Linked DNA regions of Caenorhabditis elegans. The protein of the gene in region 1 interacts with the protein of each later gene in a biochemical or structural test. Each region holds a gene or a part of one and is shown in the gene's direction. Other genes may lie near its edges. The genes, in order: mes-6 and mes-2.

What was found.
Region 2: the proteins of mes-6 (region 1) and mes-2 form a complex in vitro, tested with the Caenorhabditis elegans proteins (2 studies listed by BioGRID, with this or other methods).

What each region holds. Positions count from the first base shown.
Region 1 is NC_003282.8:8,509,502-8,514,261, forward strand, and holds mes-6 (Polycomb protein mes-6), read left to right. Parts: upstream 1-1,782; 5' UTR 1,783-1,935; coding exon 1,936-2,130; intron 2,131-2,184; coding exon 2,185-2,415; intron 2,416-2,455; coding exon 2,456-2,629; intron 2,630-2,673; coding exon 2,674-2,858; intron 2,859-3,041; coding exon 3,042-3,122; intron 3,123-3,200; coding exon 3,201-3,560; intron 3,561-3,671; coding exon 3,672-3,825; 3' UTR 3,826-3,921; downstream 3,922-4,760. Other genes in the region: FYVE, RhoGEF and PH domain-containing protein tag-77, read right to left, coding at 898-1,039; C09G4.4 (uncharacterized protein), read left to right, coding at 3,922-3,976, 4,032-4,086, 4,139-4,265; cks-1 (Cyclin-dependent kinases regulatory subunit), read left to right, coding at 4,449-4,604, 4,719-4,760. UniProt on the Caenorhabditis elegans protein: Polycomb group (PcG) protein. PcG proteins act by forming multiprotein complexes, which are required to maintain the transcriptionally repressive state of homeotic genes throughout development.
Region 2 is NC_003280.10:14,381,840-14,388,979, forward strand, and holds mes-2 (Histone-lysine N-methyltransferase mes-2), read left to right. Parts: upstream 1-2,133; 5' UTR 2,134-2,136; coding exon 2,137-2,803; intron 2,804-3,186; coding exon 3,187-3,755; intron 3,756-4,197; coding exon 4,198-4,346; intron 4,347-4,390; coding exon 4,391-4,608; intron 4,609-5,028; coding exon 5,029-5,221; intron 5,222-5,486; coding exon 5,487-5,719; intron 5,720-5,935; coding exon 5,936-6,146; intron 6,147-6,378; coding exon 6,379-6,460; 3' UTR 6,461-6,615; downstream 6,616-7,140. Other genes in the region: sdz-26 (SKN-1 Dependent Zygotic transcript), read left to right, coding at 173-457, 514-693, 747-932, 983-1,264, 1,315-1,470; F26H11.8 (uncharacterized protein), read left to right, coding at 6,674-6,729, 6,781-6,985. UniProt on the Caenorhabditis elegans protein: Polycomb group (PcG) protein. Catalytic subunit of a the mes-2/mes-3/mes-6 complex, which methylates 'Lys-27' of histone H3, leading to transcriptional repression of the affected target genes.

The sequences.
Region 1 (4,760 bases):
GAGATGATAAAATAATTGTTTTTCTTTCAATAAATGAGTCATACCACTAGGCACACACAGTGGCAGACGGAAAATTGGTCACTTCCGGGGGGTGGAACAATAATACCAACAGAAGTTAAATAGTGAATATATTTTTGGCAAGTGTTCACACAAGAATGACTATTTTAATCAAATGTTGGCGATAATCCAAGTAATTAATATAAGGACACAACCCAATTTTCTAAAATTTATTACTAGTACACTTCTTGGCGACAAAGGAGTAAAATCTGTCAAGTGGCACCTTTAGGCAAACAATATTGCGAAAAGCCTTTATACTTCTTTTTGACTACTTTCGCAATCGGTCACGCGTCTGTACAGATTTGATAGGAACTTTGAAGAAAATTGGGCATTTTTCGTTAACAAAAAGCAATAGGAAGAAGAACAGTCAAAAAACAATTTTAACACGGAAATCAGTTGTTCTACGATATTGTAAAAGTTAATAGAAAAAAAAATGATAGTAACAAAATATTTATGAATTTTCGTCTAGATTCTAACAACGAATATATAAATTGAAATGAGAACTTAATTTCCTTTAAAAATTAATTCGATTCACTGTTGGTGGAGTTTAAGGCAGATTTTTTTTTCGAAAAATTGACTGTTTTTTTTAACTCACAGAATCATTGTCAACCCGATTTTCGGTTCTCTCTTTTTCAATACTATGATCATATGATCTATTTAGTTATTATCAATAAATACAGACATAAATAGTTTTTAAAAAAATTATTTTTTAGTTTTTTTTTTCAAGAAATTTCGTAACTTTTATTTTCTCCACAGATAACAAAGCAAACGAAGTTTTTTGCTACGCCTCAATCAATTGTCGACAGTAAATACAAGACGTCTTCTCTGTTTCAGACTCACAAGGTGGCGGTGGTGGTTGCTTCCGGAATCTGTTGTCTCCGTCGTCCAGTTTATTTTGAAACTCTGCCATCATTTCTTTGACGGTCCTAGACGCCGGTGGAGTATCATCAGAATTTTTGCGATGGTTCATGTCATATTTCATACAGGCGATCTGAAAATAACTATAGCTCGTTCGAGATAACATTTTGGCTAAAAAATTGAAGAAAAAACGATAACACTAAAATATTATGAAATTAAGAATTAGTAATGAACGGGAACAGTCACAGCATGAGAAAAAGGCAACCGCTAGAAGAACAGGTTGAAGCAACAAAAAATCACACAAGACGCAGAGAATCAGGCATTGGAGACGCAGGGATATGGATGAGTCAGCAGCCGACGAAGACAAATTCGAAATAGCAAAAATGAAAGAAGTCTACGGAATTCACAAAGTGGATCTTTTGATATAAGGACAATTTTACTAAATAATAAATATGAATGAATACCCCCAAGTTGATCGCTCTGAAATCTGAAAAAGACCACAAAAACATTTTTTTTAACTGACAATAGCTCACGTAGCAATATAGGATCATACAAAAAAAATATACAAAATTATTAGTTTCGCTCCTTGCGAAAAAAGCCGAGTACAAAATCTACTTAATCCCGTTCGAATCCACTCCGAAATTGGAAGTGGTACTTCACGACAATACAAAATTTAAGCTGGCAACTGTCTTTTCTATCATATTCCCAATCGAAATCACAAATACCTCCCGGAACTTTCGAACAGAATCCAAAATGAGAACAAAAAATTGTAATAAAAAAATAACACTTTAAAGGTGCATGAGGTTATGCGCTCGTTGGGTCTCGCCGCGCTTTTCACCACTAATGCAATTTGAACGAGAAATGCGCGCGAGCGGCCATATTTTAGTTTTTCTGTTGTTTTTATTGTCATTTTTTTCCTTTTTCACTGCAAATTTGATAGTTAATCGACTTTTTTATGTTTTTACTGTGAAGTTTTTATTTTGTTATATATTGTTTCTTGCCTTTTTCCCAAAAACCTGAATGGAGCACACGAAAAAGTTCAAATCATTAAATCTTCACGGGTTTGATCGAAGTACAGAGGATTACGGAAAACGACCTTTTGTACTAACTGCCAAGCTACTTGAAGATCAGAAGAAAGCTATTTACGGATGTGCATTCAATCAATACGCAGGAATAGATGAGGAACAAGCGGTTGCAACTGTCGGAGGAAGCTTTGTAAGCGTTATTTAGCAGGAAACTGACAATGAGGTATAAATATTTGTTTTTCAGCTTCACATGTATTCTGTTCCCATCGACATAAATAACATTGAGCTGCAGTGGTCTTGTAATTTTCCTACCGATAAATCATCAAAGGTCGAACGAGAGGAGTCGCTCTTCACTGTTACCTGGTGTTACGACACATATGAAGCTGAAAACGACCGAAATCCCTTTAAAGTTGTAACGGGTGGAACTTTGGGTCACATTTACGTTATCGACTACGTCTCGAGGAAGCTGTCGAATGTAAATAATCAAAAATTACTGAAATAATTTGGAGTTTTAGCGTCTTCGGAGTGTTGGATGGGAAATCAATGACATTCGTACGTGTCCTGCCAACTCAAATCTGATTGTCTGTGCTTCATCAGATCAATCTATCCGGATTCATCATATTCGAAACGAAGCATGTCTGATTGTTATTGGGGGTCTCGAGTGTCATGCTGGAACAATTCTTTCTGTGGTTGGTTTATTAAATTTACTTACGTTTCGAATTTCTCATTTTAGGATTGGTCAACCGACGGAGACTTCATTTTATCGTGTGGATTCGATCATCAACTCATGGAGTGGGATTTATCTGTGAAACAAGTAAAGGAACATTTGGAACGAGCGTGCAAAGCTCTTCACCAAGATAAAATAAATGTGCTAACACAATCACAAGATATTCCGTATGTTTCGAAAGGAACAATGAGGTAAATCAATTATTCAGCTAACATTTTCTAGTTCCTTCTAGTATTTGATCAGTCCTTAACGCGAAAATTGTTGCTGTTGTTGTATATAAAAATATTTTTGAAACTTGAGTTTTGGATAAAAGACTGGTAAATAAAGAGACCAGGGCTATCAAATCATAATGTAATTCATTTTTGTATTTTTAGAAAGTCTGCAGTTTCTCGCAACATTCCCGACAAAGAAGAAGATCAATTGCTCGAACTTCACAGAGAGCTCATACCCCGACCGTACGTTGATTTTCGGCATCCATTACTTTTTTAAAGTTGTTTCAACGAATCTGGTTCTATCGTTTTCTTCTTTTTCAGGAGCTGCCTTCTTCCAATTTATACTCCATCCTCCGTATCAACTGATATGCATTCTGATTATGTGGATTGCATTCGATTTCTTATCGGTACTAACTACGCACTATCAAAAGGATGTGGCAATGAAAAGGCAATTCATTTTTGGAGATTTGGGCCACCTAAGGGAGAAGTTGAAAATCGCATTCATGGAAATGTTCTCCGTCCAAAGTCGTGTACAACGAAATTTCGTACAATGAATGTTCCGAGTGGTTCTGCATGGTTTATCAAATTCGCCGTTGATCCAAGAAGACGATGGCTGGTGTGCGGTGGAGCTGGTGGTTCTGTGATGTTTTTCGATTTGAGAAATAATGAAGAAACCAATCCGTAAGTAAAATATCAAGAAAAATAATTTCTGAGATGTTCGATATCTCTTAAAAATTATAGAAATATTTTTGCTGTGATTACCAGTATAAATTCCTGTTTTTTTTTTTACAGGACTCACACTTGTTCCGTTGGCTCACGTACAGTTCGGCAAGCTTCTTTCTCTACATGTGGCCGATTCCTAGTACTAGTAACTGACGAAGGATTTGTTTGTCGATTTGATCGTGTATCTGCGTCTGTCGACGCTAAGGACCTGGCAAAATTTTGAATATCATTCCTTCTCACCTTCAATTTTTTATATCTCGTTGTGATTTCATCTTCGATCATCTTCAGTGGATTTTACATTACAATTTTGCAGTTCCTAATGTCATCCCCAACCTCCTCTAAGGATTATTCTTCACCTAAACATAGCTTTATGTGTGAGTTTCGAAGAGATTATTTTCGTTTTCTGATTATCTAATTTTTCTAATTCAGTGACAGTCGACAGCAACTTACAAAGTGACAAAAAGAAGACGTTTTTGAATGTTCAGTGAGTTTTGAAAATTTTATTAGCTTTCATGTTATTACCTTTTTTATTTCAGATCATCTTCCTCTGCTGGGTCAACCAAGCACTGTCAAATTCCAATGTCAAAGGACGAGTATTTTGAAACACGCGGGAAACTCGACTCTGTTGATGTTATCGATCAATTCAGACAGCGTCAGCAATGAGCATTTATCGATTTGTCTGTACATGCAGTGTTCCTCACCATTCTCACTCTTGTCTCATTCCCATTCTTCTCTTTTTTTTCAATATTTTTTATTCTTTCCTTATTTTTGTCCGTTTCTATTTCCCGATGCTTGTTAATAAAATGAATTATTTCAGAGTCGCACCTTCTCACGCCAACCAACAAAATGACAACTGGAAACAATGATTTCTACTATTCAAACAAATACGAAGATGATGAGTTCGAGTACCGTCACGTTCATGTCACCAAGGATGTTTCCAAGCTTATCCCAAAAAATCGATTGATGTCCGAAACAGAGTGGAGAAGTCTTGGAATTCAACAGGTAAATATTTAAAATAGGTTTTTTCCTTAAGAAAAAAAGAAAAAGCGAACATAATTTCAACTGACATCAGAATAAGTTATCTCATCGTTTCATAGCTTCAAGTTTTTGTTTCAGTCCCCAGGATGGATGCACTACATGATTCACGGACCCGAGCGT
Region 2 (7,140 bases), on another chromosome or scaffold:
AAGTAAATAGCTTTTATTTTGAATCGTAATGCTTAAATTCCCGTTGATTTTCTTTAGCCCTACCTTCCGGGGCTGTGCGGCTTGTAGAAAAATTGGGTTATCGGCTGAAGCCGACAGCCGCACAGCCCTGCTAACTACTACATATACTCAAAATCCAAATATGAAATTTCAGATCCAAGAAGTCTTGAAAACGTTGCCGGAAGTCCCCTTTACCGTCGAAATCCTGGACAAGTGCAACATCGCATGTCTGATCGATCAATTTGTCCCGAACTTAGCGCCGGCCACCGACTTTGCCAGAAGGATCAGAAAATGGAGGAACGCAAGCATGCAAAGGGAAAAGGCCAAAATTGTAAAGTATTTCACATACGGAACATTGTACGATTTTGGTGGAACATTTGTCCCGGACCATGTTTTGAAGCTTCTCACTGATATGATGTGTTTCGATGATTTGGCTCTTGTAAGTTAAATGGTCACTAATTTCAGCGGGAATTCAAAAACAATTATGGTTTTCAGGTAAAATGTGCCTTCAAACTTCTCGGTGCATTGGAGCTATCACTTGCGGATTTCGAGTACTATAGAGTGCACGAGACTGCTGCTCAGTTCCAGTACAGATTTGTTGAAGCAGACGAGTTGGTGCGAAAAATTGAACAATTGCGACGGGAGCTGTCAGACGAGTCGTTGCTGGATCAAGATGCATGTTTTTTTTCAAAGAAAAGTTTAGGGTAACTATTAATTTTCCATTTTAGATCCCAAATCTCGAAATGGATAATTTCGATCAGACAGAGCTGCTCCCAAAACTTCTCGATAATCTCCACTTGCATGGTGATCAAGAGGAAGGGCACTACAAAATGATGGAGAATTATGAGTGGGCCCTTTGGGAAGTTCTCATGGTGCACCTGGTGCAATCAATTAAGACTGGGAATCGACGAGTGGTGAGTTATAGATTAATTTTTACAATTTAAATTATAATATGATATTTCAGATCACAAGAGCCATAATCCACCACCAAGAGCACCGGTTTCCACTGGCACTTTACAGAAAATACGAGATCCAATCACTGATCCGAGCTCTTCCTCGTAAGATCTCAGCTGCTTCACAACTATTTGATGAGATCGAGCTAATTGAGGAGTCCACATTGAATTCCCAGCATATTGAAGCTTTCCGGGAGGTGAAAAAAGCTGTGAACGGAATGGAAGAAGGAGAAGAAGCATGGCCAGTGCTCATGTCTTTGATGATGGGATTCTTGAAGCAAGACGATGGATTTGTGAGTTTACCTCTGATGTTTTTCTCTATTTTCAAAATAATATTTTTCAGGTTCACGGAGCCGTTGAGTTGCTACTGAATTGCAATATTTCACGGGAGCGATTTGTCGAGTTTGCGGTGGAGAATACTCTACTGAATCTTCCATATCGAACTGAAGAGATCAATGAGCTACTGGTGAAGATTCGGAGCATGGAACCGCGTCAATAATAGATTTAATTTTCTTAAAAATTTTTTTTGTAATTTTTCCAAAGTTCAAATAAAATTGTTCTTGGAATTATTCAGCCTTACTAGTAATAGTTAGTATGCAAAATTTTGCAAATATTACGGTACCCGGTCTCACCAAAACCAATTTTGGTTAAATGCAAAAAGGTGTGTGCCTTTAAAGACATAATTGCAAACTCTCAGGAATTTTCATCGATTTTTTTATAAGTAGGTTTTCCTAAATCCTTTTTTCGAAAATTTATTGATTTTTTTTCTATATTTAATATAAGCTTTTTAATATATTGCGATCGGAAAAAATTCGATGAAAACTCCGCGGCCACGAAAATTTGACTTTTATGTACTTTTTTAAAGGGTGCATATATTTTCGCATTTAACAAAAAATTGCTGTGTTGAGACCTGGCACCGTATTTTTAGCATAAAAATGGCAGAACTTCGCGCCTGGGTAACATATTTTGCAAAAAGCATTTGGTTTTCCTTGTCAGATTCAAATTCCAAACCTTCGCGCCAACTTCACATTATCAATAGGGCGCGATTGCACGCAACACTTGCAATGTTTTTAAAAATTAAAAATTGTTTGTTTTCGATTTATTCTCTCGTCTTTTTCGTCTTAATACAATTTTCTCCCTTTTTAAAACGCAATATTCTTTCAGAATGAGCAACTCAGAGCCCAGCACATCAACTCCCTCAGGAAAAACAAAGAAGCGCGGGAAAAAGTGCGAAACTTCTATGGGAAAATCGAAGAAATCGAAAAATTTGCCTCGCTTTGTGAAAATTCAGCCAATTTTTTCATCTGAAAAAATCAAGGAGACCGTGTGCGAACAAGGAATTGAAGAATGTAAACGTATGCTTAAAGGCCACTTCAATGCTATCAAAGATGACTATGACATTCGAGTAAAAGACGAGCTGGACACAGACATCAAAGATTGGTTGAAGGATGCGAGCAGCAGTGTTAATGAATATCGCAGAAGGCTGCAAGAAAATTTAGGAGAGGGCAGAACTATCGCAAAATTTTCATTCAAAAACTGTGAAAAATACGAAGAAAACGACTACAAAGTCTCCGATTCCACAGTTACATGGATCAAACCGGATCGAACGGAGGAAGGAGATTTGATGAAGAAGTTTCGTGCTCCGTGTTCACGTATCGAGGTTGGCGACATTTCCCCGCCAATGATATACTGGGTTCCAATCGAGCAAAGTGTGGCGACTCCGGATCAGCTGCGGCTCACGCATATGCCGTATTTTGGCGATGGTATTGACGATGGGAATATCTATGAGCATTTGATTGATATGTTCCCAGATGGAATTCATGGATTTTCGGGTGAGAAATTGCAAAATACCGGATTTTTTCCATTTTCTCTGAGAAACCCCCAAAAATCGAAAAAAAAACAGGCGGGACGAAGGTACCATTATTTCTATTTATTTTTACATTTTACATTCAAATTGCCTAATTTCTCACTTTTCAGTGAGAAATCGCCGTAAAATTTTTTTGAAATTTTATTTCAATTAATGTCATTTTGAATGTCAAACACAAAATTAGTTTTAAAAAATAGCCTTGAAAGTGAAAAATGCGAAAAACAAGTTCCCACTTGTCCACGTGTAGTTCTAAATGTTTCATAAATCGACATGCATCAAACCTCGGGACAATCTTGCAAATCCTTAGCTCCAGGTATTTTTTAAGCGAATTGATGTTAAATTTTTCAGACAACTGGTCCTATGTCAATGATTGGATACTCTACAAACTATGCCGTGCTGCGCTCAAAGACTACCAAGGCAGCCCAGACGTATTCTACTACACCCTCTACCGTCTATGGCCAAACAAAAGTTCACAGAGAGAATTTTCGTCGGCTTTTCCCGTTTTGTGCGAGAACTTTGCTGAAAAAGGATTCGATCCGTCGAGCCTCGAACCATGGAAGAAGACAAAAATCGCTGAAGGTGCTCAAAATCTTCGAAATCCGACGTGTTACGCGTGCCTCGCATATACATGTGCGATTCACGGATTCAAAGCCGAAATTCCAATCGAGTTTCCGAATGGTGAATTCTATAATGCGATGCTTCCGCTGCCAAATAACCCGGAAAATGATGGAAAGATGTGTTCTGGAAATTGCTGGAAATCGGTGACGATGAAAGAAGTTTCAGAAGTTCTTGTGCCGGATTCTGAAGAAATTCTGCAGAAAGAAGTGAAGATTTATTTCATGAAATCAAGAATTGCAAAGATGCCGATTGAAGATGGAGCGCTCATTGTGAACATTTACGTGTTCAATACATATATTGTAAGAGTACGCGATTTTTGCGCCAAAACCTGGCCTCGACGCGACAAATTTTTGTTAAATGCGAAAAGGCGTGCGTCTTTGAAGAGTACTGTAATTTTAAATTTTCAATAATTTTTCTAACAAGGGAAGAGTTCAAAAACTATTCCTGAATTCGGAATAAAAATAGTGTCATGCGATAGTTGGAGGTCTGAGATGATCCCTCCGAAACATTTTTATTGAAAAATTATATTTCCAGTGAAATTAATTTCTCGCAAGTTTTCTCTTTTTTTTAAAGCTATAAAGCTTGATTTTGCACCTTTTTCGTTATTTTGTTTTTCATTTTGCGTTTAAGAGTTTGTATATTATGTAAATCAAACTATTTTAAACAAAAAATAGCGAAAAATAGGAAAAAAGGGTGCAAAATCGAGCTTTATAGCTTAAAATGCAAAAAATCCATTCTCAGCCATTCTGCGAGTTTGTCAAAAAATATGTCGACGAAGACGACGAGGAAAGCAAAATTCGTTCATGTCGTGACGCATATCATCTAATGATGTCGATGGCAGAAAATGTGAGCGCCCGACGACTTAAAATGGGACAACCGTCGAATAGATTGTCAGTTGACGCGATTTTTTATATAAAAAATTGAATTGTTTCAGAAGTATCAAGGATCGAGTCAACAACTTCCGTCGTAATCAGTTGAGTCAGGAGAAGGCGAAGCGTAAGCTGCGTCACGACAGTCTGCGTATTCAAGCATTGAGAGATGGTCTGGATGCGGAAAAATTGATTCGAGAAGATGATATGCGTGATTCTCAGCGAAATAGCGAGAAAGTTCGCATGACCGCGGTGACGCCAATCACAGCGTGTCGACATGCGGGTGAGGAATGGAAAACAATTATGGGGTTATTCGTGAAATGTAGAAAAATGCAATAATTTGTTTTTATACATTTTTCACCTACCCATGTGCATCGAACAATGTAGCATTAATTTTTTGCATTTTTCGACATTTTTCGGCATTTCCTGCATTTTTCGACATTGGGCGACATCCCACTTCTCATGCTGAAGGCGAGACACGCAGAGAAAACCCGCGGGTGCATATCTCTCTGCGTCTCTCGCCTTCAGCATGTGAAGTGGGCTGTCGACCGATGTCGAAAAATGCAGAAAACGAATATTTTTTTGTATTTATTGGACACACATGTATTTATTGGACACAAATGAATGAAAACACATTTTTGCACATTTTACTACATCGCATTAATAACCCCATTAATTGAAAATTAATTTTTAAACATTTCAGGCCCATGCAACGCGACAGCCGAAAATTGTGCATGTCGTGAAAACGGAGTGTGCTCGTACATGTGCAAATGCGATATAAACTGTTCTCAGCGATTCCCGGGATGCAATTGCGCCGCCGGTCAGTGCTACACGAAGGCTTGCCAGTGCTATCGAGCCAATTGGGAATGTAATCCGATGACGTGTAATATGTGCAAGTGAGTGCACAGGAATTTTTTGAAAAGTTTTTTTAGTAAGCTTTAATTTTTCAGAACTTCCAGAAATGGAAATTTTAAGAAAGGAAAAAATTAAACTTTCCAAAAAAAATTGATCGAACTGAAAATTTCTCGAAAAAGAAGGACCAAATGTCCATTAAAAATCTTCAATCAAAATCCCAAATTTAAAAAAAGGTATATAAAATCAAAATAGCACAGAAAAATCGAATTTTGTACCTGAAAATTCTCAATTTAAAAACAAATTCAGATGCGACGCCATCGACTCGAACATAATAAAATGCCGCAATTTTGGAATGACTAGAATGATCCAAAAACGAACGTATTGCGGGCCATCGAAAATAGCAGGCAATGGACTTTTCTTGTTGGAACCCGCCGAAAAAGACGAGTTCATTACGGAATACACTGGTGAACGAATTTCCGATGATGAAGCCGAACGACGCGGTGCGATATATGATCGATATCAGTGCAGCTACATTTTTAGTATGTACTTTTTTTAGATCACGGTGTCGCAGAAAAATGTTTTAAATTTAAATTTTTTTTGGGTTTTTAGAGACAACATTTCGATTTTTTGAAAATCAAATAAATAAGAAAAAATTATTTCAAAAAATTAACAAAATATCGAAAAAAAAAACCATCAAAAGTTTTCTTTTTTTTTGAAAATTCAATTTTTCGGAACAAAAAAAAATATTTTTGCAGACATTGAAACCGGGGGTGCGATCGATTCGTACAAAATTGGAAACTTGGCACGATTTGCCAATCATGACAGCAAGAATCCGACGTGCTACGCGAGAACGATGGTTGTCGCCGGAGAGCACCGAATTGGGTTCTATGCGAAGAGACGGCTTGAGATTAGTGAAGAGCTCACATTTGACTACAGTTATTCTGGAGAACATCAGATAGCGTTCAGGTAGATTTTGCAAAAAGCTTTTCGGGTCTCGAGACGACTGCAGCTACCGTACCCTCTAGTTTTTTCCACTCAATTTTTAAAAATTTATAACACAAAGATTTTTTTGGATCAAAAAAATCATGATAAGCCGTAGAAAATTGTGGTTGGTTACGGTAGCTGCAAATTTTCGGTCGCTTCGAGAACCAGTTTTGTGTAGACTTTCAACTTGACTTTTTGAATAAACTTTTTCCAGGATGGTCCAAACCAAGGAGAGATCCGAGAAGCCCAGCAGGCCCAAAAGCCAGAAACTCTCCAAACCAATGACTTCTGAATAATCTTTTTTCTTGACTTTTTTTCTTAAATTTTTCCCGTTGATATCACTTTCAAATCTCAAGATCTACTTGTTTAACTGTTATTTCCCTAGAATCTCATGTTTCTGAATACATTTTCCTTCCTTCAAATTTCTGAAAACCATAAATATAATCGAATCAAAATTCCTCCTATAAAATCGCCCGACACAGCACAATTTTTTCACTTCTTCCTTAAAGATGGTGATTTTCTTCTTATTTTTCTTATTTCCCATGCTGCTGGAGGCTTCGGAAACGTAAGTTGGATTTTTTTCTGCAGGAAAATCTGAAAATGACAAAAATTCCAGTAGCAGAAGCTTAATCGAACCACCGGCCGTAATTCCTGAGAAACTCAAAACATTTTGCCAGATCGATCCAACGTACGAGATTTGCGTGAAGCTTGGCATTCCGAAAGCTGCGAGAAAGTTTGCAGCGAGATCCAAAATCCAGGGAAGACAGAGAAAAGGCGTCGATTGTAGGCAGGCCCCATTGCATCCGGGTTGTCAGAGATAAAAATGTTCCAAATATTATAGAAAAATTCCAATTATAGAAATGTGTACCTGGACAAGTTCATCGCGTGGAAAATTCATCACGATTGCGAGGTGAATCCAAATGGAGAATTTTGCCCGAAAACTTTGAATCGGAGAGCTTCTGCTTCTTGTCCATCC